2 linked regions of the Xenopus tropicalis genome follow. The protein of the gene in region 1 purifies or fractionates together with the protein of each later gene. This does not show direct contact. Links are inferred from orthologs where the notes say so. Each region holds a gene or a part of one and is shown in the gene's direction. Other genes may lie near its edges.

Region 1 (17,602 bases):
AAGAGGGGCTGCTGTAAGTTGCCACAGACAGTCACTATTTATTGGGCTGGGGGGGGGCTGTTTGTGCCTCTGGGTACTGGGAATGCCAGGGGGGCTGTAAGGTGCCACAGACAGTCACTATTTATTGGGCTGGGGGGGGGCTGTTTGTGCCTCTGGGTACTGGGAATGCCAGGGGGGCTGTAAGGTGCCACAGACAGTCACTATTTATTGGGCTGGGGGAGTGTTTGTGCCTCTGGGTACTGGGGATGCCAGGGGGGCTGTAAGGTGCCACAGACAGTCACTATTTATTGGGCTGGGGGTGCTGTTTGTGCCTCTGGGTACTGGGAATGACAGGGGGGCTGTAAGGTGCCACAGACAGTCACTATTTATTGGGCTGGGGGGGGCTGTTTGTGCCTCTGGTACTGGGAATGCCAGGGGGGCTGTAAGGTGCCACAAACAGTCACTATTTATTGGGCTGGGGGGGGGGCTGTTTGTGCTCTGGGTACTGGGAATGCCAGGGGGGCTGTAAGGTGCCACAGACAGTCACTATTTATTGGGCTGGGGGAGTGTTTGTGCCTCTGGGTACTGGGAATGCCCTAGGGGCTGTAAGGTGCCACAGACAGTCACTATTTATTGGGCTGGGGGGCTGTTTGTGCTCTGGGTACTGGGGATGCCAGGGGGGCTGTAAGGTGCCACAGACAGTCACTATTTATTGGGCTGGGGGTGCTGTTGTGCCTCTGGGTACTGGGAATGACAGGGGGCTGTAAGGTGCCACAGACAGTCACTATTTATTGGGCTGGGGGGGGCTGTTTGTGCCTCTGGGTACTGGGAATGCCAGGGGGGCTGTAAGGTGCCACAAACAGTCACTATTTATTGGGCTGGGGGGGGGCTGTTTGTGCCTCTGGGTACTGGGAATGCCAGGGGGGCTGTAAGGTGCCACAGACAGTCACTATTTATTGGGCTGGGGGAGTGTTTGTGCCTCTGGGTACTGGGAATGCCAGGGGGCTGTAAGGTGCCACAGACAGTCACTATTTATTGGGCTGGGGGGGTGTTTGTGCCTCTGGGTACTGGGAATGCCAGGGGGGCTGTAAGGTGCCACAGACAGTCACTATTTATTGGGCTGGGGGGGCTGTTTGTGCCTCTGGGTACTGGGAATGCCAGGGGGGCTGTAAGGTGCCACAGACAGTCACTATTTATTGGGCTGGGGGGGCTGTTTGTGCCTCTGGGTACTGGAATGCCAGGGGGGCTGTAAGGTGCCACAGACAGTCACTATTTATTGGGCTGGGGGGCTGTTTGTGCCTCTGGGTACTGGGAATGCCAGGGGGGCTGTAAGGTGCCACAGACAGTCACTATTTATTGGGCTGGGGGGGCTGTTTGTGCCTCTGGGTACTGGGAATGCCAGGGGGGCTGTAAGGTGCCACAGACAGTCACTATTTATTGGGCTGGGGGGGCTGTTTGTGCCTCTGGGTACTGGGAATGCCAGGGGGGGCTGTAAGGTGCCACAGACAGTCACTATTTATTGGGCTGGGGGGGCTGTTTGTGCCTCTGGGTACTGGGAATGCCAGGGGGGCTGTAAGGTGCCACAGACAGTCACTATTTATTGGGCTGGGGGGGCTGTTTGTGCCTCTGGGTACTGGGAATGCCAGGGGGGCTGTAAGGTGCCACAGACAGTCACTATTTATTGGGCTGGGGGGGCTGTTTGTGCCTCTGGGTACTGGGAATGCCAGGGGGGCTGTAAGGTGCCACAGACAGTCACTATTTATTGGGCTGGGGGGGGGCCTCTGGGTACTGGGAATGCCAGGGGGGCTGTAAGGTGCCACAGACAGTCACTATTTATTGGGCTGGGGGGGCTGTTTGTGCCTCTGGGTACTGGGAATGCCAGGGGGCTGTAAGGTGCCACAGACAGTCACTATTTATTGGGCTGGGGGGGCTGTTTGTGCCTCTGGGTACTGGGAATGCCAGGGGGGCTGTAAGGTGCCACAGACAGTCACTATTTATTGGGCTGGGGGGGGCTGTTTGTGCCTCTGGGTACTGGGAATGCCAGGGGGGCTGTAAGGTGCCACAGACAGTCACTATTTATTGGGCTGGGGGGCTGTTTGTGCCTCTGGGTACTGGGAATGCCAGGGGGGGCTGTAAGGTGCCACAGACAGTCACTATTTATTGGGCTGGGGGGGCTGTTTGTGCCTCTGGGTACTGGGAATGCCAGGGGGGCTGTAAGGTGCCACAGACAGTCACTATTTATTGGGCTGGGGGGGCTGTTTGTGCCTCTGGGTACTGGGAATGCCAGGGGGGCTGTAAGGTGCCACAGACAGTCACTATTTATTGGGCTAATGGGCTGTTTGTGCCTCTGGGTACTGGGAATGCCAGGGGGGCTGTAAGGTGCCACAGACAGTCACTATTTATTGGGCTGGGGGGGGCCTCTGGGTACTGGGAATGCCAGGGGGGCTGTAAGGTGCCACAGACAGTCACTATTTATTGGGCTGGGGGGGCTGTTTGTGCCTCTGGGTACTGGGAATGCCAGGGGGGCTGTAAGGTGCCACAGACAGTCACTATTTATTGGGCTGGGGGGGCTGTTTGTGCCTCTGGGTACTGGGAATGCCAGGGGGGCTGTAAGGTGCCACAGACAGTCACTATTTATTGGGCTGGGGGGGCTGTTTGTGCCTCTGGGTACTGGGAATGCCAGGGGGGCTGTAAGGTGCCACAGACAGTCACTATTTATTGGGCTGGGGGGGCTGTTTGTGCCTCTGGGTACTGGGAATGCCAGGGGGGCTGTAAGGTGCCACAGACAGTCACTATTTATTGGGCTGGGGGGGCTGTTTGTGCCTCTGGGTACTGGGAATGCCAGGGGGGCTGTAAGGTGCCACAGACAGTCACTATTTATTGGGCTGGGGGCGTGGCCTCTGGGTACTGGAATGCCAGGGGGGCTGTAAGGTGCCACAGACAGTCACTATTTATTGGGCTGGGGGGGCTGTTGTGCCTCTGGGTACTGGGAAATGCCAGGGGGGGCTGTAAGGTGCCACAGACAGTCACTATTTATTGGGCTGGGGGGGCTGTTTGTGCCTCTGGGTACTGGGAATGCCAGGGGGGGCTGTAAGGTGCCACAGACAGTCACTATTTATTGGGCTGGGGGGCTGTTTGTGCCTCTGGGTACTGGGAATGCCAGGGGGGCTGTAAGGTGCCACAGACAGTCACTATTTATTGGGCTAAGGGGGCTGTTTGTGCCTCTGGGTACTGGGAATGCCAGGGGGGGCTGTAAGGTGCCACAGACAGTCACTATTTATTGGGCTGGGGGTTGGCCTCTGGGTACTGGGAATGCCAGGGGGGCTGTAAGGTGCCACAGACAGTCACTATTTATTGGGCTGGGGGGCTGTTTGTGCCTCTGGGTACTGGGAATGCCAGGGGGGCTGTAAGGTGCCACAGACAGTCACTATTTTATTGGGCTGGGGGGGCTGTTGGCCTCTGGGGTACTGGGAATGCCAGGGGGGCTGTAAGGTGCCACAGACAGTCACTATTTATTGGGCTGGGGGGGCTGTTTGTGCCTCTGGGTACTGGAATGCCAGGGGGCTGTAAGGTGCCACAGACAGTCACTATTTATTGGCTAAGGGCTGTTTGTGCCTCTGGACTGGGAATGCCAGGGGGGCTGTAAGGTTGCCACAGACAGTCACTATTTATTGGGCTGGGGGGGGGCCTCTGGTACTGGAATGCCAGGGGGCTGTAAGGTGCCACAGGACAGTCACTATTTATTGGGCTGGGGGGCTGTTTGTGCCTCTGGGTACTGGGAATGCCAGGGGGGCTGTAAGGTGCCACAGACAGTCACTATTTATTGGGCTGGGGGGGGCTGTTTGTGCCTCTGGGTACTGGGAATGCCAGGGGCTGTAAGGTGCCACAGACAGTCACTATTTATTGGGCTGGGGGGGCTGTTTGTGCCTCTGGGTACTGGGAATGCCAGGGGGGCTGTAAGGTGCCACAGACAGTCACTAGTTATTGGGCTGGGGGGGCTGTTTGTGCCTCTGGGTACTGGGAATGCCAGGGGGGCTGTAAGGTGCCACAGACAGCCCCCCCCCCCATACGTGTGTTTGCGCCATCATATCCCATTCCCAGGGACCCGCCCAATTCCCAACTCAATATAATGGCGAATAATAATTCGGCCTGTTGGTTACAAGCCCCTATTGGCAGTTCATGGCATCTCTAAAACATACACTCTGCCCATAGAACCAGATACCTCTGCCTATTCTACCTCCTCTTGCCAGCACCCCATATACCCAATCAGACTGCCGGGCCCTGCTTCCGTCACTTCCGGTACCCCGCCACATGCCCGAATCCCAGGCGTGACGTCATTGCAGTGCGCCGGAGCGGAAGCCAGCCTGGGCAACACGTGAGACCGAGTAGAAAGCGACTCCGGCAGTAGGTAAAGGCGCATAACGTGTATTCTCTCCCAGCTTTGTCAGACTGTGTGTAGTGACGGGAGGGCGGGCAAGTACTATTAATGGTCTAATACGGGATACGTGCTAAGCGTCTGTGGGAGCCTCGCAAACTTTAGCGTCCGACAGTGTAACGCTGTACCCGGTGTGTTGCGCTGGGATCCTGCAGTCCGGAATCAAGTAATAAAGCAGTCGCTTCCCTGTATAAGGAATGTTGGGAGCGTAGGAATCAAATCCTTATCTGTGTCCTTCGTCCTCACAGGGAGCCCTGGGGCAGCGTTATTTAGTAACATAGCGCATATCTGCCCCAGCGCAGTCACCTGCATACACTATTACCCTAGGGTGGTCAGATCACTTGAAGATTAAGGGACACGTCTAACATGCATGTTGGAGGGCAGCCCTGGTTGTACTTGAATTAAACTGCAATCAGTTCAGCCCTGCTGGCTGGATTTTTTATACCTTTCCCTGAATTTTCAAGTGTCCTGGTCACCCTGCATTATTCTGTTTTGGTGAGGACACACTGAGCTACCAGTCGCAGCTACTTTTTCAAGGCTACTAAACTCCAGAAAATCCCCTGCCATAGACAAGAGTGAGAATTGCCTCTGCTAAAACACACATAGAGACAACTATCAGTAAATGATCAGCATTGACTTTTTTAGTGACCAGGACAAGTAGCTGCTACTAGTAGCTCTGTGTGTCTTCAACCTCTGATTTCATGTCCTGTCCCAGACAGATCTAAAGTCATTAAACTTATTAAATAATGACATTTTCTGTTGCCTTTTACAGAGATCGTCATTCCCATTAGTTACTGCCCCCTACTGGCGACTATTAACCTGCCTTTATGGAGTGTTGGAGGCACCTAAAGTACCCCTGGGGGGTCCAGCACAGATGTGGGAGAACACATTTCTTATTTATAACAATTTTGGACATGCTACTGCCCCTTTAATAGTCTGTTAGAATCTAAGCTGCAAATTGGCAGGGAGTTGTATGTATGTATATCTTTATTTATAAGGCTCTACTTATGTACGCAGCGCTGTACAGTAGAATACATTAATACAAATGGGGTTATTAAGATAATAGATAAATACATAAAAAGTATAACAATAAATACAAGATACAGTTGCAATAAGTTAAGAGTCACAGACACAAGAGAATGGAGGTCCCTGCCCCGTAGAGCTTACAATCTATATAGATGGCATATATGTGTGATTGCCCTATGGTGCTATTTAAAAAAAAAATGTAGGGAATAGTGGGTAAAGCAAAGCAAGATGGCAACAGTAGGGTAACATGGTTACAGTAACACCCGATGATCCCTGCTTAGCAACCTGTGCCTCCCACAAAAAATGGACAGTGTTTTGTGAGATCTCAACACATTTACCCCCTTGCCCAGTGGCTAAACCTCAGCTGGTGTCTGTGGGCACTATGATGCTCATTGCAGGGATGATTTCTGTGTAATGCAGTGAGAGCTCCACCCCCAAAACAAGCAGTGATGTCAGCCTGTAACCTGTCATGGTAGGTACACACTGTAGAGGAACCATATGTCTTTTGAATCATGCTCTCTTTTCATACAGGTGCATCATGGGTAGGAAATTAGACCCGCTGAGGAAGGTGCCTCGTGGCCCAGGCCGTAAAGCAAGGAAGCAGCATGGGGCAGAAAATGAGCTAAAGAACATCCTGCAAGAGGGTGAGTGCCCACTGGATTGGGCTTTAATACCCATTTCATGCCTTTTTGTTCCACTTTCTGAACTTCCCCTTTAAGCATCTCTTAAAGTTACAGGCTGGAAATGCCCAACAGTGTATTTGGCCCCATGATGTTCTAGCTGTCTGTCTCCTCTCTGAGCCTCCATTGACTTTCTGCTCTCTCTTTCCCTCTCACTCAGACACAGAAGCAAAGCGCATGTCCAGCCGCGGCAGGAAGAGGTGAGATTGCTGAGCCTTGGGGCACAGGCAAAGCCAAGTATTTCTGGTGCTTGGTAATTGCTCAAACTTATCTGTCCCTTCCTTCCCTTGTCTCATTCCAGGGCACTAAAAAGGCGCATGTTACAGGAGCAAAAAGCAGCAGCCAAACCCCCAGCAAAGAGCAATGGTATGGAGTCTCTCTTGCCTCCCCTCCCCCATCCAGCTCCCCTTTCCTCATGTTTGTTAATATCTCTTTGATGTCTTGTCTCTCTCCCTTTCTCTCTTTTTTTGTCCTTTCCTAATGTTGTAACGCCGTTTGCTACATTATTCACTCTCTGTGTTTCTTTCCCATGGTTCTCAATCTATTTCAGCCAATGCAAAGCTCAAAATAGGCGAAAAGAAAGTCCTGCCGGGATTTACTGATGACAATGCAGAATGGCTGAAGCCTGTGAAAAGAGCTCGCAAGGAAGAAGATGAGGAAAGCGAAGATGATAGTGAGGAGGATAATGAAGAAGAAGAAGAGGGGGATGAAATGGAGGAGGTAGAGAATGGGATGGAGGAGGAGGTAGATGAAGAAATGGAAGAGAAGAGTGATGAGAGGGAAGATGCAGAAGAGGAAAGTGAAGATGAGGATGGTGATGATGAGGAGGAGGAGGATGGTGATGAGGAGGAGGATGGTGATGGTGAGTTTGGCGAATCCCTCTCCCTGTCAGACAGCGATGATCTTCAGGATGATTATGGAACCTCGTCAGGGGATGAGAAGGATGTAAGTGATATCAAGTGCACCTTTTCCCATTTCTCTGTTCCCCCACTGTGTAGTAATTGACATAATTTTTTTCTTTGTAGCTTCTTCCAATAGAGCGGGCATCCAAGAAGGAGAAAAAAAAACAAAAAAGGTAACACCCCTTTGTTTAGAATAATCCCCCCCACATACACACACAGACCCTATACCCTATTATTGCCTCTGTTCAGCCTGCGGTGCATTTCTAACTCTGCCCGGCCTGCTGGCTGCTATGCTGGGCACCCCTTCCTTTCCCTATTTGCACAGTTCTCTTTACCTGTAAATAACTCGACTTTTCATATCGGAATCTCTCCCATTCTGATCTGTTCCATATAGTGAAGAAGCTCTGACAGGAGAAGAGAGCACCATTCAGTTGAATGTAGATTCCGAAGAACTATTTCAGCTTCCAACTGAAGAAGAGTTGGAAAAGGAGCGTATCCTTATCTTTTTTTGGATTGTACCTCATTCCCACCCTTCCCGAATTTCTTAATTCTTTAAAATTTCTACACCCCAGCTCATGTTGCTTTAGAATGACCCTTCCTTAACTGCCCCTGCAGTCTCAACTGCCCCAGATCTTGTCACAGTGCAGGAGCGCATTAAGGATATAGTAGGAGTTCTGCAGAATTTCGCACAGCGCGGGGGAGGTCGGACGCGGCAGGAGTACCTCAAAGTGCTCAAGAAAGATCTCGCTACCTACTACAGTTACGGAGATTACATGATTGAGACGCTCAGTGAACTTTTCCCTGTGTCGGAGGTGAGAGTGAGCAGTGTATGAAAGGCGGTTGTATATATGGTGGGTGAGAGCTGTGCCGAGGAAATCTGGCATTGTGTCCTACAGAAAACATTTGGTACAATTGTTATTGCAAATTCAGTGTTGGCTGAAATGTATAAAATAGATGTTACAATAGTGCATTATGTTCTTGGTGAGGACAAGTTATGAAAGTTTCAGTTTGGGCTGTTACAAGCCCTGAATCTTTGAGTGGTTTCTCAAGTGCTTTATGGCTGAGATTCTAGCTATCTGTATAACAGAGCATTCTGTCACAGTGGCACAGATCCTATCTGATCCCCCCATTGTAAGCAGCAGTCCTGCCCTGCTTTATGGCAGAGATTCTAGCTATCTGTATAACAGAGCATTCTGTCACAGTGGCACAGATCCTATCTGATCCCCCCATTGTAAGCAGCAGTCCTGCCCTGCTTTATGGCTGAGATTCTAGCTATCTGTATAACAGAGCATTCTGTCACAGTGGCACATATCCTATCTGATCCCCCCCATTGTAAGCAGCAGTCCTGCCCTGCTTTATGGCTGAGATTCTAGCTATCTGTATAACAGAGCATTCTGTCACAGTGGCACAGATCCTATCTGATCCCCCCCATTGTAAGCAGCAGTCCTGCCCTGCTTTATGGCTGAGATTCTAGCTATCTGTATAACAGAGCATTCTGTCACAGTGGCACAGATCCTATCTGATCCCCCCCATTGTAAGCAGCAGTCCTGCCCTGCTTTATGGCTGAGATTCTAGCTATCTGTATAACAGAGCATTCTGTCACAGTGGCACAGATCCTATCTGATCCCCCCATTGTAAGCAGCAGTCCTGCCCTGCTTTATGGCTGTGATTCTAGCTATCTGTATAACAGAGCATTCTGTCACAGTGGCACAGATCCTATCTGATCCCCCCCATTGTAAGCAGCAGTCCTGCCCTGCTTTATGGCTGAGATTCTAGCTATCTGTATAACAGAGCATTCTGTCACAGTGGCACAGATCCTATCTGATTCCCCCATTGTAAGCAGCAGTCCTGCCCTGCTTTATGGCTGAGATTCTAGCTATCTGTATAACAGAGCATTCTGTCACAGTGGCACAGATCCTATCTGATTCCCCCATTGTAAGCAGCAGTCCTGCCCTGCTTTATGGCTGAGATTCTAGCTATCTGTATAACAGAGCATTCTGTCACAGTGGCACAGATCCTATCTGATCCCCATTGTAAGCAGCAGTCCTGCCCTGCTTTATGGCTGAGATTCTAGCTATCTGTATAACAGAGCATTCTGTCACAGTGGCACAGATCCTATCTGATCCCCATTGTAAGCAGCAGTCCTGCCCTGCTTTATGGCTGAGATTCTAGCTATCTGTATAATGGTATTTCATTACAGTGCCATGTCTACTGTTTTGTCCCATTGTATCTAAACCTTTCTTTTTCATTCTCCCTGGTTCCCCTTTCATTTAATTTCAGCTAGTAGATTTCCTTGAGGCTTGTGAAGTTCAGCGACCGATAACAATCAGGACCAACACTTTAAAGACAAGAAGACGTGACCTTGCTCAGGTGCAGAACTTTGTCAGCTCTAGTAACAAACGGCCCAAATCCCACTGTGTGCCATTACAACTACATGCTTCCCCCATTGGTTCTTTTCTTGTCCCAGTTGTCCTCTGAGGAAATAGGTGAAAGTGAGCATAACAAAAATCTTACTTTACTTTCTCTTTTTCTGTTATTTCTTAGGCTCTCATTAACCGCAGTGTAAATTTGGATCCCTTGGGTAAATGGTCAAAAACTGGACTTGTTATTTACGACTCTTCCGTGCCAATTGGTGAGTTTATGGGATGCGAGTTTGTGCCAAGGGAAGGACTCTGTGTTTGCTTGTGATGAGAAGCCTAACTTATTTTCTTGCTTGTGTGCCTAGGTGCCACCCCTGAGTACTTAGCCGGACATTACATGCTGCAAGGTGCGTCTAGTCTTTTACCAGTCATCGCGCTGGCTCCTCAGGAGAATGAGCGGGTGTTGGATATGTGTTGCGCACCTGGCGGCAAGACCAGCTACATGGGTAAGTAAAGGGAAATTAGAAAGGAGGAACAGATGGCAGATGGTAACTTGAAAGTAGACTGGTGCTGTCAGGAGAAATGCCCATTTTCGTTAATGTTCTGTTTCCTTATGTCTCCAGCTCAGCTGATGAAGAACACAGGTATAGTCGTGGCCAATGATATGAATGCAGACCGACTGCGCAGTGTTGTGGGCAATCTTCACCGGCTGGGGGTGACAAACTGCATCATCAGCAATTATGATGGGCGGCAGATATCCAAGGTCAGCTGACAATAGCAAAAGCTTGAGGGCATCAGGGTACTGGCATATATTGCCTATTAGGGGGATTTTTCATGGTTCTGAAGAGAAAGGCCAAGAACTGGCTTTGGAACTTACTGACTTTTTTTTTTTTTTTTTTTTTCAATACCTTACCAGGTGTTAGGGGGCTTTGACAGAGTGCTCCTTGATGCTCCGTGCAGTGGTACCGGGATTATCAGCAAGGATCCTGCCGTTAAAACAAATAAGGTAACACATATATTACTGTGGTGCTGCTCCATATTATTTTTTTGTTTATATTCTAAGGCAGTTGTTGCAAAACTATGGGGCTGGCCCTCCTAGGGCCTCTAGTGTAGGGAAAAGGGGCAGCCTGATTTTGAAAAGAGGATTTTTGTTTTCTTACCTTACATCCTTTTTTGTTCAGTTCCATAGGGGACACAGGAACAATAGTGGTTGCCTCTGCATGTGTGATGCTAAAGTGAGCTCCATAGTTCTGTTGGCACCCAGTATCTATTCAGTATTTCTTGTCCTGATTATAACCAGTACATTTGCTAACTTTTTCTGGAGCCCCAGAAACAAGTTCACAGCCTGAGTAAGTGAAAGAAGGTACAATGGCAGTGCAATAATGCTGTGTATTTGTATTTACGCAGAGTGTACAGGATGTCCAGCGTTGTGCCCACATACAGAAGGAACTGATTCTCAGTGCTATTGATGCTCTGGATGCCCAGTCACAGACTGGCGGGTTTATGGTGTATTGTACCTGCTCCATAACGGTGAGTTGGCTGGACTGTATCCACAGCTGCTTCAGGCAGGGTGAAATGAGACACCTTTTGTTTATTACACTCTGTCCCCTTTGTTTTCCAAGTGTTTTCTTCCTTGGTTCATTTTATATGGTTAAACTGATGGCACCTTGCTTAGTGGTACTGCTGAGTGGCACATTGTTTGTCAAGACAACAGAAAAAGTCCGGTTCAAGCCTAATTCTAAGTCTCTGTCCCTGCAGGTGGAGGAAAATGAATGTGTAGTGGATTATGCTTTAAAGAAGAGAAATGTCAAACTTGTCCCAACAGGACTGGATTTTGGAAAGGAAGGTTTTGTCAGGTAATAGTGACATCCTTGTATATGTGCCCTTACACTTCCTGCTGATTGTTTGCTAGGATCACCTTGCATTTGTTATTGTATTGCCTGTGATTCCTTGGGTAAAGATGTGTTTTGGGCTTTGCCACCAGAATCTGTACTGGCTGCACAATGGATTGGTCAGTGTGTCCATTTATAAATAATCCTTCCCACTGTCAGGTTCAAGGAACGGCGATTTCACCCATCGCTGCGGCAGGCACGAAGATTTTACCCACACACTCACAATATGGACGGCTTTTTCATTGCAAAGCTGCGCAAGTTCTCCAACACCATCCCCAAGCCAAATAAAGGTAAGCTTCTTTTGTAACCGCTAATGCATCTCTGCTGAGGTCTGTAAGGCATCTTACGGTTATTGATATAAATGTATTCCCAAACACTGCATGCTTATTCTCTATATCAGTGGGGCCCAATTTATTCCATATCGTACTGTGCTACAAGTGTAAGAGCTGGTTTTTTTTTTTGAGCAGTCTTGGGGGGACATAGATATCTCTGAGGGTCACATGTGGAAAAGCCCTTCCTAGACTTATGCCTGCTGACAGTTTCTCGTGTGTTTTGCCTTATGTGTCTGAGCAAGTGTATGCTTTGGCTCATAGTTGCCTCAAGTTAGTTATGCTTTTCCCTTAGTTTCTTTACTCCTTAGCCTCTTTTGACATCTTCCCTTCAGTGACCCCATTCCCAGTCATGGGTTCTGAAATCCTTTCCAGCATTTTTATCCAGGTTTCCTCTGTATAGAACCTCCCTTCATTATGCAGTTCCTTGACTGCGAATCAGTATCTCACATGATCCTATACAATTTGCTTTACTTTCTCCCCTTAAGATGAAGAGACTGAGACCCCCAGCCCAGATCAGCTGAATGAGGACAAAGCCACAAAGCAGAAAGCTACAAAGAGGAAAGCTCCAGAGGAGAATGATGTGAAGGACAACACAGCGAAGAAGGAAGGGGGGAATGAGAAGATGCCAAAGAAGAAAGGGGGGAATGAGAAGACGCCAAAGAAAGGGGGGAATGTGAAGGCGCCAAAGAAGAAAGGGGGAAATGAGAAGGCAGCAAAGGAAAAAGGGGCAAATGAGAAGGAACCAGAGAAGAAAGCTCAGAAAAAGAAAGTTGCAATAAAGAAAGCTCATATGAAGAAAGCTGTGAAGGTGACTGGCAATAAAAATAAGAAGAAAGTAGCATCAAAGAAGAAAAAGATGTTCAAAAAGAAAACGAATAAATAACTTTTTCCGCATGACATTGACCATCTGTTGCCCTGTGACTCAGCCTGCCTGCTGCTCCTCCATAGAACTTCAGAATGTTCTGCAAACTGAAAGGTGGTTGGGAGCATCTTGAATGTGGCCTTGAGCCTGGCCACCCTCAGAGTCTGTGGGGTTCTGTGGGAGAATCAGCAGAAATAATAGACATTCTGGCACTGGCCCATCTTTATTTTCCTGCATATTCCATGCAGGGCTACTGTTATGTAAACTCTTATGATGATGTATAGTGTCTTGGGTCTCACACCTCCAGACTTCTGTTTCCAACCAAGGCAGCCGCCAGCCCTGTAAACATATTGGTTCTGTTTTATAAAAATAGAAAAAAAAAATATTGTTTTTATGGAGTTTGACTTTGGGTCTGTCAGTTCCAGGAAAGAGCAGATGCCCGGAACGGAGAGGGCTGAAGGGGTGAGGGTTTAAATGCACATGTGGTGCTGGGGGGAGTGAGGCTGATGTGTGTAAGGTGCTCCATTATTGATTGGTGCAAATATAGGGTGAGTGGCAGCCCACAATAAGCTGTAGGGGGCAGTATGTTGCCCACAGTCAGGATTGGACACATTGGTGCCTTATCTTATAGCCCTGCCACTCTTGCAAGATCTGGTTTGAGAGCGCTAGGGATGCCAGCTGGCACAGAATTGCCAGAAGCAATGTCTTCACTATAGCACTGCAACTGCTATGGAAAAACAGGTAAAAAGTATTTTTACTTGCACCAATCAGCAAGGAAGCCAGGCCTTAAACCACTGAGCTTCTCAAAAAGGAATACCCCTTTAGTGCAACCAAACCAAACTGCTGCAGTACAAGGCAAGGGTGTACAGCAGCACAAGTCCTGCCCTTGGAGTACAAAGGAGAAGGAGGCATCACAGTAGAGGAGGTGATGGTGGAATTCAGGGGAAGCCATGTTTTCCTGGGGCTGCTGTACACAAGGGCTCAGAGATTATACAATAGGTTTTCATGTAAGACAAGTGTAATTTTACTAAGAATCATTTTATCCAATCAAGTAGGAGCTGATTGATAACAAGTGCGGGACTTTTGGGTAAACGAGAACTGTACAGCAATGTAAAACATAAGGTGACCGTTGCAGCCCTCCCTGACTGGAATTCTTAGGCCCCATTATGATTCAGCCCTAGGCCCAGGGGCCAATAGATCCCATCTATATACGGCGCAGTGTATTGGTGGCCAAAATCAGCAAAACAACTAGAACCTCTTAAAAGAAAACTATATATCATATTAAGTGGCCTATTAAAGAATCTCACCAAACTGGAATATATATATCAGTAAATATTGCCGTTTTATATCCTTTCCCTTGAGCCGCCATTTTGTGATGGGCTGTGTGCTCCCTCAGAGATCAGCTGACGGGAAGTGATGCAGCTCTAACTGTAACAGGGAGTAGTATGGGAGCAAAAGGCAGAACTCTGCCCATTCATTGGCTGATGGGGCCTAGCATGTATGTGTGCCTTGGCTTGTTTGTGTTCACTGTGACTCCTATGATCCCAGGGGGCAGCCCTTAGGAAATAAATATATATGAAATAATATATACCATGAATCATACACCCTACACTCGGTGAGCCATGATCCCTAAAGGTTGGTTACTCATCGTAAGGCACGGGTTCCCCTAGGTCAGCGCTATTACTGTACTCATGGGCAGCTCTCATTGGCTTCTAAAATTCCATTAAATTCATGTTGCTTCTGGTTCCAGAGGGATTAAGCATGTTAAGGTTGTATGTAAAGTATCTGTGGTATGTACTTATGTATAGCTTACCTGAGCTTAGGGACCGACACACTGGGGCTCATTTATAAACTCTGGGCAAATTTGCACCTGCCCAGTAACCCATAGCAACCAATCAAATGTTCACTTTCATTGTTCAACCTGCGACTGGCATAAGTGCCTTGTGGTTATTATTCAGCCCTGTAGCATCAGCTTCTGTGACAGCTGGAACCTCACTATCTGCTAATGTTTGCTAATTTCCCACAACCCCTAAGCTTAGCTTCTCAGCAGCAGCCCACTGAGCACGTGCAGTGCCACTGACTCTCGGCTGTTAGCCTGTGCTGGAGATAGCTGTGCAGGCCTGGATCATTATATAAAATAAAATATAAAATACAGCATTTCCCCCATAGGCTTTAGGGGGCTATCAATGCCAAAGTTCAAGAAGGGATGTGTAGCTTTCTGGAAAGAAGGGTGGGTTTGTGAATGGCTTTAATGTATTGGGACATGGCTGAGTATCCATCCCAGAATGTTGGCATATATACCAAACCCTGCCTTCTAGCTCTGAACCCACACAGTGCCTTATACTAGAACCTTCCATCATAGCTTATTGTAATGTCATTTTTGCGCTAAACACATGCCCCAGGCCACTAACAGCAGGACAAACCAGCACAGGGACCCATCTCACTCTGGGGGCATCTTCAGTGTATATTGGGGGCATGTGTTATTGAGAGTGTGTGGTGCCCCTAGAGACTGTGCCCAACAGGACAGTATGGCACCACACTGGAACTAGAAACCATCTCAGCTCTAATTGGGTCACTTGGGGATTAACTTTACTGTTGGTGCTTTATAGCTACACAAGCCTGACTGTCTTGTATCGATAAAGAACTTGGGCAAGAGTTTAGTCTTTAGGCCAGCTAGTCCTACTAGTCTTCTACTGAGATATACAGTAGGATTCTCTATAGGCTTGCACAGTATCTTTACTGGGACCTCCTGCCCCTGGGCACTATCTTCACTGAGGCCTCCTTCCCCTGGGCACTATCTCCACTGAGGCCTCCTTCCCCTGGGCACTATCTTCACTGAGGTCTCCTTCCCCTGGGCACTATCTTCACTGAGGTCTCCTTCCCCTGGGCACTATCTTCACTGAGGTCTCCTTCCCCTGGGCACTATCTCCACTGAGACCTCCTTCCCCTGGGCACTATCTTCACTGAGACCTCCTTCCCCTGGGCACTATCTTCACTGAGGCCTCCTTCCCCTGGGCACTATCTTCACTGAGGCCTCCTTCCCCTGGGCACTATCTCCACTGAGACCTCCTTCCCCTGGGCACTATCTTCACTGAGACCTCCTTCCCCTGGGCACTATCTCCACTGAGACCTCCTTCCCCTGGGCACTATCTTCACTGAGACCTCCTTCCCCTGGGCACTATTCTCCACTGAGACCTCCTTCCCCTGGGCACTATCTTCACTGAGACCTCCTGCCCCTGGGCACTATCTCCATTCTCTGGATTTAATCTAATTTCTTCTCCTTGAGGAAGCTGCCTTATATACAGCCCAAGATTAACCACCTCACCTTGGCATAAGTGACATAGGGCTGCTACCAGCTCCCCCAGTATACCTTACCAAAAGGTAGGTTGACTCAAGGTAGGTTACTCATAAGTAACTTGCACCCAACTCATAAATTACCTGCCCCACTGAAAGCATAGACAAGCATGTTGGCAGCTAAGTAGAATGGGACACTATGATTTCTGATACCAGCACTGAGTTGAAGTTTAAATAGGGTAACTCAGCAACAATCTACAGGGAACCAAACTACATCTACATTTACACACAGTGGCAGTAACATACAAAGCCACATGTGCCTCGATCTTGGTTGAATAAGGCCTTGGCTTCGAGGAGCCTGAGGCTACCTCACATTTCACCCCCCCATGTTAATCCGATCCTGACTGGCTATGTATGGATATGTATGACAGCTGATGGATTTACAGAACTGACTATAATAACCAACGCCTGCTGTTTTTCAAATGATGCAGAGAGAATTCCTTACTCATGTGCCTGGGGGTCTCGCTGCATTCCTCCAACGCTTGTCTCATACACATTCCCACGCAGCTCCCAGTCACTTGCACCAACACACACTCTATGGCTCCTGGCACAAGGGGGGGCGCTGCTGCCAGATGGCAGGGGCCTATGAATGGGCTGATTATATTTATATTATATAAATGGAAGGCTTACTCTAGCTTATAAATATATACACACACTGCATTTGGCTGGTAATATGCCAGCAGCTAACAAATGCCCCTCCCAGAAGAATAATTACACACAGGACTAATGCCACAGTCCAGCTGTCTCATCCCTGCCAGGCAGCGGCCAGCTGTCTCACAAAAGCTGGTAAAAGCAGAGCATGCTGGGAAGTCATCCAAAGCAGGGATAGTGGGTGCAGGGCAATGACTCCTGGCAGGGGTGGGAGAAAGTGCCAAAGAGCCGGTGGGCACTGTTTGTATTGCCCATCTGGTTGCACAGATGGCAGTTTGATTTGAAGACTGTAGTTGGAAAACCCTTGGGGGGTAGCAGGTTGTTTCCCCTGCATTAAAGGACAAGTAAAGGCATAGGGCTATTTTGCAGCTTCTCACATGGCTTTATTTGCCCTATAAATCACCCACAGCCTTATTATCTTGTGATCATTTATCAGACAGCGGCCACTGTATATCACCTTCCTCTACACAGAGATCCTCCTTTATATTATTATTTCCGTGTGTGGGAGCTGCCATACCTACCCCCCTGCAAAGGCAAAACAAGGGACCAGTAGACGCCCCACAAGCAACGGCGCCCTCTAGTGGTCACATTATCACCGCAGTTTTTTTGTAATCAAAGTATCAGTTAGAGAAGGGGGAAATGAGAGAGAAAGAGAGAACTGCCCCCCCCAGATGTTGGCTGTTTATTTGCCCCCCCATTAGGGCACAAAGTGGTTGTCAGGCCAATTCACTGTCCCTGGGTCTGTAGCCCTGTCCCTTCCCCGCTCCTAGCGTCCCTCTGCCCCCCCCCCCCCTCCCCGCTGCAGTTGGGGTATGGCTGAGCCTGCGGTGATGTAGGAAGGAATGCGCCCCCCCCGCCCCTTCCATCCCTCCATTCCCTCTGCGCGTCAGTGGGATGTGTTGTCTCTCCCGGGCTGCTCCATCCCCCCTGCCAACCTGCAGTCTCCGTGCCCTGGCAGTGCCCTGTGCCACCTTCCTCCCTCCGAGCCGCTCTCCGTGATGTGACTGTTCCTCCCCCCCCCCGCATCTCTCAGCCTGGTCCTCCCCCTCCTCCCCTGTCTCCGCAGTGCTCAGAGCAGCCATGAACCCCTTACTAACCCCCAACCTGCTCCTGCTCCCCTCTGATGCCC
Region 2 (9,649 bases), on another chromosome or scaffold:
TTATTCAGTGCGCACAGCGGCAGGATGTGGTTTCTGTTTCCGGTTACATTCACGTGGACTCCAAGATGAGGCCTCTCACAGATGAGGAGACGAAAGCGATGTTTGAAAAGTTGTCAAAATAGTGAGTTGGGGAGAAATGGCTTCTTAGTGGAAAGGGAGGCAGGTAGTAAGGCCAAGGCATTTGTTCTGCTGAAATCCATGCACGTGTACTTGTCGTTGAAGGGTTGGGTAGAACTGCAGGGTAATAAGCGTAGTGATCTCCAGCATGGGGTGCCATGATTGTGGTTCACAAGGAGAAACATATCTGCTAAAAAGCCTGCTTTTTATTAGAAAGATACCTTATGAGTATTTGTTGCAATACAAATTTTAAGTGAAAAGAAATAAAAATGATTTTGTTGTAGTCCTGCCAGTTGACTAAACTGTGGGGGCTACCATTTGTGAGGGAAGCTCATTTATTAAAACAGCTCCCAATTGCAGAAGAGAAACAGAAATGTTTGCAGGGAAGGTGAAGTTAACGTCATTCTTCCCTGCAAACATTTCTGGTGTCAGTATCTCTTTAAATAACAAGGGCACGTATGGGAGCCAAGTTCTTTTACCTGTGAGAGGTGGCCGGTCATAGAGTCTGTGGTCCGGTTGAGAAAAACAATACAATACTTATAATATACAATACCCCCTGCCAGCGCTATGCTGCCTGCACCAGATGGGAGCTCCCAGTGAGGACGCAATGTTTCCTTATAGCCTGGGCTTAATGCCATAGCATCCCAAGCCTCTCACTTTGCGTCTGATTTCACATGCATGCACATTATCAAAAATCTGTGACACTAAGCAATGGCATGCTTGTGTCCCAGAATGGAGCTTGCAATGGGAGATGGCGGCATAGCACTTTCAGTGGACGATACAGTTTAGGCCCAATAGGTCCCCTTTAAGGATGATGCAACAATCCAGTATAAGGAGCTTACAGATGCTTTATTCACTTTTTTGTTCATTTTAGTATTGGAGAGAATATCAAGTTGCTGGTGGACCGGCCTGATGGGACGTACTGCTTTCGACTACACAATGACCGTGTTTATTATGTGAGGTGAGATCATAAAGTTATATTTACTGGGATGTGCTAAATGTTAGGCACTTTAAGTAGATACATTTTTGATGTGTGGGTACCCCTGAGAATGACATAAGCTCAGCAAGCTTACTAAAACAAACCTAAACCTACAATAGTATTTGTTTAGTTAAAGGAATACTGTCATGGGAAAACATGTTTTTTTCAAAACATATCCGTTAATAGAGCTTTCCAGCAAAATCCTGCATTGAAATCTGTTTTTTTACAGATTTTTTAAAATTTCATTTTGAAATATAACATGAAGCTAGCCATATTCTTCATTTCCCAGGGTGCCACAGCCATGTAACTTGTGCTCTGATACTTCAGTCACACTTTACTGCTGTGATATCCCCCCTCTCTCAGAAGTCGATCAGCAGAACAATGGGAAGGTAGCAAGATAGCAGCACCCAGTAGATATCAGAATAGCACTCAATAGTAGAAATCGAAGTCAAGGTTGGGACTCCCCCAGTTACATGGGAGTAGGAGAAACAATAGGTTACCTGAAAGCAGTTCTATTGTGTAGTACTGGCTGTTTCTGAAAGCTCAGAATCAGGCACAATGCACCTACACAATGCGCCTACACACCAATATTACTACAAAAAATTTAGTAATGTTATTTAGAAATAAAAAGTACACCATAAAAATCATGACAAAATCCCTCTAACCTATAAATTATGGTTTTCTTCCAGTGAAAGGATCCTTAAACTTGCAACCAACATTGCTCGAGACAAGCTAGTATCCCTTGGAACCTGCTTTGGAAAATTTACCAAGACACACAAGTTTCGTCTGCATGTCACTGCTTTGGATTATCTGGCACCCTATGCAAAGGTCAGAAATTTTCTTATTTCTATTTTATTTTTATTTTTTTTTATTAGAAATAAAACTTTTTAGGAAGATCCTGTTCACACAGGTAGTGCTTTAAAATATTCTTTATTTTCTCACACACATCACATATTCACTATATCAATTTCATGTCTGTTTTATGTTAGGTCTAAATCACTCCTTTATTTTAGTAGAATACGATACAGTAGAATTATAAGACAATATGCATGGTCTTATTCAGACTAAACCCCTACACATATACACAAGGTTTTCTTATTAAAAGCCAACAATCATATTCTTTACAACCTCCCCTCCCTCTTTCATTTTGGTATTGTGGCATTCTGAGCAATGAATATACAGCATTTCAGCAACGAAAAACTGCATATTCCGTTAACAAATAGCCCACTGACATAGCAGCGCTGATCAACCGCTGCCAAAAAAACAGAAAATACATTAAAGGAGAAAGAAAGGTAAAAACTAAGTAAGCTTTATCAGAAAGGTCTATGTAAATACAGCCTTAAGCACTCACAGAAATGCTGCACTGAGTTCTCTGTCAAAAGATTTGTTGTCTATTTTCCTCTGCCAGAGACATGCAGCTCTTGACTCTCTCCCCTCTCCTGCTCCCCCCTCCCTCAAGAATGCTAAGAACTCACTCCCCCCCTTAGGAATGTGGATCTGAGCCAATCAGCAGGAAGCTTCCTCATAGTCTTACAAACTGAGCATGTACACCGGTCTGGGTCCCGGTATAGGAGCAAGGCATTATGGGAACTTTCTTTACACAACTCAGTGTTTTTTTTTAAATGGTACTGGTATGTATGTATGTATAACTTTATTTATAAAGCGCTACTTATGTACGCAGCGCTGTACAGTAGAATACATTAATATAAACGGGGTATTAAAATAGATAAATAAAAAGTATTACAATAAACACAAATAAATACAAGATACATTTGCAATAAGTTAGGAGTCAAAGACACAAGAGGATGGAGGTCTCTGCCCCGTAGAGCTTACAATCTAGATGGAAATTGATATACCTATATTCATATTATTATCGCTAGGTTTTGATCTCCTGGGGTTGATAAATCTTTTCTTTTCCAACAGTCTTGTTGGTACAGCTGGCCCAAATTCCATTCTGGAATTTGTTTTAAAGGAGAAGGAAAGGCAAAGTCTCTTGGGGGTGCCAAAATGTTAGGCATCCCCAAGTGACTTTAATCGCTTACCTTCTAACCCGGGCTGGTGCCCCTGTACAGAGAGAACAGCACCAGCCCGAGGTAGCAGCGATCGCTTCCTCCTTCCTGATCAATTGTGCACGCATGCGCAGTAGAGTGAAAAGCCGAACTTTAACAGAGAAGTCGGCTTTTCACTCTACTGCGCATGCGTTTGTTCTGGACAATTGGCTGCAGCACGAGTGGGAAGGAGGAAGTGCTCTCGACAGGTACCCGAGGCTGGTGCTGTTTTCCCCTAACAGGGGCACCAGCCCGGGGTACAAGGTAAGCGATTTAAGTCACTTGGGGGTGCCTAACATTTTGCCACCCCCAAGTGACTTAGCCTTTCCTTGTCCTTTAAGCAAAGAGAAATGGCAAAGTATGGTCTGTGCTTTGCAATTCGTCACTAGGCGGTGTATAATAAATCATTGGCATTCCCAGAGAAAAGCTCTTTCCTTGTCCTTTAAATCAGTATTGCCTTACTTCGGAACATATTTGTACTCTTGCTCTGACTGCTTTGATCCAAAACATCTGCACTCGTATTGTTCAGTATTCAGCTCTACTGCCATGTAAAGGTGTTTGTAATGTAAGCAAAGTATGTTGTAAACATTTCCTACTCTTACACCTTGTCTACCTCACAGTACAAAGTATGGGTGAAACCTGGAGCAGAGCAGTCTTTTCTTTATGGAAACCATGTGCTAAAATCTGGCTTGGGGCGTATCACAGAAAACACATCTCAGTACCAAGGAGTGGTGGTGTATTCTATGGCTGACATACCACTGGTAAGTGAATGTGTAGAATATAGTTACATGATGTCTTGAACACAGTCAACGTATTCTAGTTTTTTTTTTGTTTTTTTACATTAATTATAGATTCAGCTAATAATGCGAAGCGCCAGGTTATCATATTCAGAACTAAACATTTGTATCAGTTGCATACTATACATTTTTTAGTTCAGTCTTCCAGAACCTTAAGGGTTTAGATTTTGCTAAACACTCAGGACGCAAATCTGGACTGCTAGGATTTGATTGAATTCTGTGCATATTGAGTTTTTGAATTGTAAACAGCTTCTCTAATTTTAGAGCAGTAAGATTACTGCATACTGCAGTGGGTTTATACAGTCTTGAATCTGAAACCTGACTTATTTTTCACTGTTGTTCTGCAGGGATTTGGAGTGGCCGCAAAGTCAACTCAAGAGTGCAGAAAACTTGATCCTATGGCAATTGTGGTTTTTCACCAGGCAGATGTTGGGGAGTACATCAGGCATGAAGATACTTTAACATAAATGTACAGGCAAATAGCTACTTTTCTAAGAAAACTATATGGACTAAATGCCTTGTTTGTGCGAAGCAGGCACAACATATTTGTATAAACTTCATTTACTGAGGAACAGTACATACATCATGAACATTTGTGTCTTCTCAGCATTGTTGCTTTCTCTGGACTGACATGCTGTCTTGAACTGAGAGGATTGTGTTCCCCTTTTTTCAGACTATTCTTTGATTAAACTTTGACATATGGGATCTCTAACTTCTTTCATGACATCAGAAAAGCTTCCAGAGTTGGCAATACACACTTTCAGTAGTGTGGTGAATTGAGTCTATGCACGTGACACAAATAATTATTTAAATTGTTTACTATTCACAGATTAAAACTGTAGTATATAAACTAAGTCTGTCACAGTCCATGGTGTTTTAGTCTTGGGTTTTCTAATAATCTGATGTTTACTAATGTATTCTTTTGCCTGTCTGGTTGCTGTGAGCTGCAAATCTTTTTAGCAGCATATTTTCCTTTCCCCATATGACAACAGAGTAACACCTGAGACAAACTTGTCTGCTTCATGCTTTTATAAATGCAAATATGTGAACAGAAGTTGTGTGCACACAATGTGTGCAATTGTCATTGTGTTTAAAATGAGATAATTTTTAATATAAACCATAATTACAAAAACATGAGATTTCTTGATGTTCCACAAACCCCTCTAATGTAAATAGAGGAATAGCTTTGCTAACAAAGATGATTTAGTGGACAGACGTGTCCCCTCCAATCAGTCGCTGTATTTTTCTTGGCATAGTACAGGACTTGTTCCAAATCCTAGTTCTGCCCTAATTTAATGGTTTAATTTCATTGTGCATTACAAGGATGCATACCTGCAGTGTTACGATTTGAGGGAATTCCAGTTTATCCGATGGAACAGAAGGTCATAAAAAGGGCAGGATAACTCTTGTTCCACATGAGATCAATGAATAGGGTTTGCACTGAACATTTGTTTTTTTTTTTTGCATATTGTTGTAATCATAAAAAAATCCTACTACTACTAAGCTACTGCAGAGGCTATAATAAGCAGTCTTTAGCCATCAGACCACTAGTTTACTTAGTGATTAAATTATAAAAGGATGTCTTGCAAAGATATTGCCACATATGAAGCATACAGTTCTTTACCATCTGTGCACATTCCCGAAGAAAAGCAGAAATCTGAAGCTAAGCATTCTACAGAAAGTAAAAAACAAAAAAAGTGGGTGGGCAAAAAGTATAGGTTAGGTTGTGCTAGGTCCCCTAAGCCATACAGGACTTTTAGTTAATTCCAGGCCATCCTATTAGTTTTGTTGTTTCATATAACTATACAAATATTTGATTTTTTTTTTTTAAAGAACTATATAGGCATTCCTCTGGGTAACTTTAGCTGTAAGCAATAAAGAGGTGTTAACTGACAGTAAACTTGAAACCAATCAAAGATATTCAACAACTCCCTAGTGTACTATCAATTAATAGCAATTTGCAATCTTTTTGTATTAGTATTTCTGGATACAACAACATGTATGGAGACAGAAGCTCCTTGTAAAAAAAAAAAAAAAAAAGTGGACAGGAAGAATGCAAACGCAAAAGAAAGGGAGAAGTAGAGAGCATTAAAAAAAATGGAAGAGAGTGGAATGGGGCAAGGGAGAAGTCATAGGGTGCAAGAGTTGAATGAGAGAAAAGGACAATGGGAAGATCAAGAAAAAGGGGAAATTAGTGTGATAAAATTTAAAAAAATAGTAAAAGAAGAAAAAAAGGTTAATATATTTAAGCACGGGAAATTGTAGGAGGAAAAAAACAAAGGAATAGCAGAAAAAGAAGTAGAAAGAATAAAAGGGAAGGGATAATGCTTTGGCACTTAGGAAATTTGCCATCATCTCTAAGAAGCCTTCTATAATTAAAAAAAAGAAAATACCTTTATTTGTGTGACAGGGCTTATGGGGTCAGTTTATATACGTTATCTAAGGGTCAATAAAACATGCATACAAATTCCATTTGTTTTTATTTCATGGTTATCTGTACATTGTACATTAATGTGACAGTTAACTTGTTTTAATAACTTGTTTTCATATATGAGATGTTCAACTTTTTGTTCAGTTTATAGCAACAAATGTTCCTATTCTTTGATCACTTGATTTCCATATGGCCCAAAGGCTATTTAATGGACAAGAAACAGGTATCAATCTGGCTTTAGGTTAGAAGGTTTAGATTTTGTAGGCAGATGCTATGCAACAACCAAAATGTGCCCAATCAGCATCAACAGTAACATCCCTTGCTAGCCTGCCTAGATGATGTCCTCTTTGAGAATCTTGTTTGCGTGTTCATTTTTGCGTATTGGGCTATAAAGAGTAATCTTCAACTGCTGTTTGTGTTCACTTAACATCGGGGTTTTTGTGAGTCTGTTGTTGTTTTCACGTTAAAGAGACGTTTCAGGAAGTAAAGCTGCAGGACTCCTGAGGCCACAATTAGCACACTTTGGCTAGCAGACCACCAGTTCACGTAGTGATAATTTGATAAGAGGATGTAGTAATCAGACCCTTTCCTCATCCTTGCAAAGTTGTAATATCGCCACATATGAAGCACGCGGTTCTGTACAATCTGTGCACTTTCCTGAAGAAAAGCAAAGACTCGTGAGATATAGAGCTAAGCACTCTCTTGAGCATAGAAACCATTAACTGGGCAAAATTGCAGAAGATAGGGGAAAAAAACAACAAAACGTGTTACAAATTACCTCAATAGTCACTAGGGTGTCATTTAACTTCTGTTTTTGGTCTTCTACATGTTCTGGCCCAACACCATCATAAAATACCCCAAAATTTAGGTAGACCTGTGCTTGACCAAAACTATTTTGCCAGTTGTTCACACAAATCTGATAAAATCCTGAAAAACAAAGATAATACATAAAAGAATGACACAAAGCAGTTGTGATTGACATTGTGTCCTCTTCGTGAAGAACAAACTATTTGTTCACTCTTAAATGTGGGGGCATAAATGTATGAGCCAATTTTTAGCTGCTGTTACTAATTCACAGTCAAAAGTAAATGCAAAGTTTGGGAATGCAGTGTAAAGATTGTTAATTTTTGTGCATAGTTGCCTTCTATTTAAGAATTACTTTTGGTTCATTATGGGTTGGAAGCTCTAACGAAACAAAGCCTTAAAAAATATAGTATGCAGTATTTTATATAATGAACTTACTGTACCAGCCTAAAGGTTTCACGGCCCTATATCAATAATTGTACAACCTTGAGGTTACAAGTTGTCAGAGAAGCTACAGGAGCTTATTATGATACAGAATACACTAGCTTCTGAGCTGCCGTGTAATGTGAATTAATTAGCAACATTCCTTGCATTGTAGATTTTTGATTACATATATACTGTATAATTTCAGTTAAGTTCAGGCAACTAACAGAAGTATTTATAAGCTAAAATATTTGTTAATGGCAAAGGACTGAGTTTCACCACACACTCATCACTACACAGCAATACAGAGTGAGGAACTACTGGAAGTATCTTCAAAGGCACAAATCTTCACTGTTAAAGGTTTGTAATAGCCTTGGACTTATAGAAGCAGCAGTCCTTGTCTAATTCTTTGTTGAGCTTTACTTCTTTAAGTGGCTGCTCATTTAGAGTGTGAATATGTTTATCCACATTACCAGTCTCTTTTGTCTTGAAGTTAATTTGACCGCGAGTGTCCTGTGATTGCTCAATCTGGAAGCCTTCTGGAGTAAAAGCTGAGGCAGTAACATGTCTGTTCTGCATTATCCCTGATGTCCACTGAACCTGCAGAGAATTTATACATTCATTGCCTGGTAGAATTTTTTTTTAATCCTTCCATGTACAATACTTCACAGAAAAAGGTAGCTTTCCCTCCAACAGGAGGAAGACAATATGCAGTGCAAGGCATACTACCTGAACTTACTTGAACTAAGGAAAATAAAATATAAGGTAAAGTATTAACACCATACACAGAGGTATTACTTGGCATAAAGGATGATAATTAGGCACTTGCACAATAGTGTTGAAGTCTTACTTTACTTCCTTAAAACCAGTTATAATATCTCCCTGAAATAAATGTATACGGCAACTTTAACATGCAAACACTTTAGGGTAAATGTATCAATAATTAAAATCACTTTTTCCCTGCAATTTGGAAAAAGATAATCATTAATAAATCAGCCTCTATGTGTTATTCTGGGGGAGTGCCAACATTTGTTACAGCAATAAAATACATGTTAAGTTTAGTATGAGCTTTGTGTACGAGTGAATTTGTGCTGTAAGACTGAGAAAGCATTGGGTCACCTTGCAGTTTAAGAGATAAGGAGGTGATATGTTTTTTGGCAGGCAGCAGGTGTTTCTTTTTCCAACTGCAGTGCAAGTTTAACACAATTATTTTACCAACAGTTGGATTAAGCATTAGCATTTGTATTATGATTTTCAAATTTTACCAGATCTGTCATCTGTTCACTGCCTGGCCCTCTATTGCAGCTGTTAGTCTGCAGTTTCAATGAGCATTGATGATCCATGAATACATTGATTGGATGATATTTATAGAGATTTTGAGATTAAAATATATATCAAGAAAGAGAAATGTTTGTTTCACATCTGGGACATCACATACCAACTCACCTCATATCCATAGTAGAAGTAGCCCTCCTGATGAGCAAAATGCCAGAAGCATTCGGTTCCTCCAGGGCCCAGCAGGACAGCAAAATCATACCGGTCGGCACCACGAAACAAAGACTGGGCATTGGGATCACTAAGTGGCTCAGACTTCTGGGCAGTACTAAACAATAAATGGGCCAGTAGGAACACCACAACTGGAAGCATGATTAAGGGCAGCCTGAGATGCAATGAATGCAGCAGATGAGGACCTAGAGAAGCGTGGCAATCATTAACCTAACCAAGCAGCCTCTGCTTGACAAACTGACAAGGCGTAGCACCTGCTACAGCCAATTAAAGGAGATGGAACATTTTTAAACACCTGTACAATTCACACAGGCAGCTTACAGTATTACTTAATGTTTCTAATGCTGCATCAACCTTAAATGATATAATAATGTGCTTTGTCTTCTGTTTAAATATATTTGTCTTATTTGCTATTGCACACACAGAACAGCATATATATACATATAATATATATTATATTTTTACTTTTTTACATTATCATAACCAAAATACACAAATTACCAAATTATAGTACTTAAAATATATATTGCTAGTCTTAAGGCTG

What was found.
Region 2: the proteins of nop2 (region 1) and nip7 purify together in Homo sapiens (affinity purification with mass spectrometry; 3 studies listed by BioGRID and IntAct, with this or other methods). This does not show direct contact. The link is inferred for Xenopus tropicalis from reciprocal best matches to the Homo sapiens genes NOP2 and NIP7.

What each region holds. Positions count from the first base shown.
Region 1 is NC_030683.2:10,040,754-10,058,355, reverse strand, and holds nop2 (probable 28S rRNA (cytosine(4447)-C(5))-methyltransferase), read left to right. Parts: upstream 1-4,279; 5' UTR 4,280-4,383; exon of another isoform or gene 4,384-4,387; intron 4,388-4,464; exon of another isoform or gene 4,465-4,580; intron 4,581-5,971; 5' UTR 5,972-5,978; coding exon 5,979-6,084; intron 6,085-6,280; coding exon 6,281-6,320; intron 6,321-6,421; coding exon 6,422-6,486; intron 6,487-6,670; coding exon 6,671-7,065; intron 7,066-7,145; coding exon 7,146-7,195; intron 7,196-7,416; coding exon 7,417-7,514; intron 7,515-7,637; coding exon 7,638-7,834; intron 7,835-9,302; coding exon 9,303-9,392; intron 9,393-9,566; coding exon 9,567-9,654; intron 9,655-9,747; coding exon 9,748-9,888; intron 9,889-10,005; coding exon 10,006-10,145; intron 10,146-10,298; coding exon 10,299-10,388; intron 10,389-10,789; coding exon 10,790-10,912; intron 10,913-11,140; coding exon 11,141-11,238; intron 11,239-11,433; coding exon 11,434-11,564; intron 11,565-12,091; coding exon 12,092-12,489; 3' UTR 12,490-12,851; downstream 12,852-17,602. Other genes in the region: iffo1 (intermediate filament family orphan 1), read left to right, coding at 17,554-17,602. UniProt on the Homo sapiens protein: S-adenosyl-L-methionine-dependent methyltransferase that specifically methylates the C(5) position of cytosine 4447 in 28S rRNA. Required for efficient rRNA processing and 60S ribosomal subunit biogenesis.
Region 2 is NC_030680.2:61,098,898-61,108,546, reverse strand, and holds nip7 (60S ribosome subunit biogenesis protein NIP7 homolog), read left to right. Parts: upstream 1-44; 5' UTR 45-65; coding exon 66-121; intron 122-991; coding exon 992-1,078; intron 1,079-1,785; coding exon 1,786-1,924; intron 1,925-3,764; coding exon 3,765-3,905; intron 3,906-4,288; coding exon 4,289-4,408; 3' UTR 4,409-5,073; downstream 5,074-9,649. Other genes in the region: tmed6 (transmembrane emp24 domain-containing protein 6 precursor), read right to left, coding at 6,796-7,029, 7,151-7,299, 8,073-8,199, 9,046-9,246.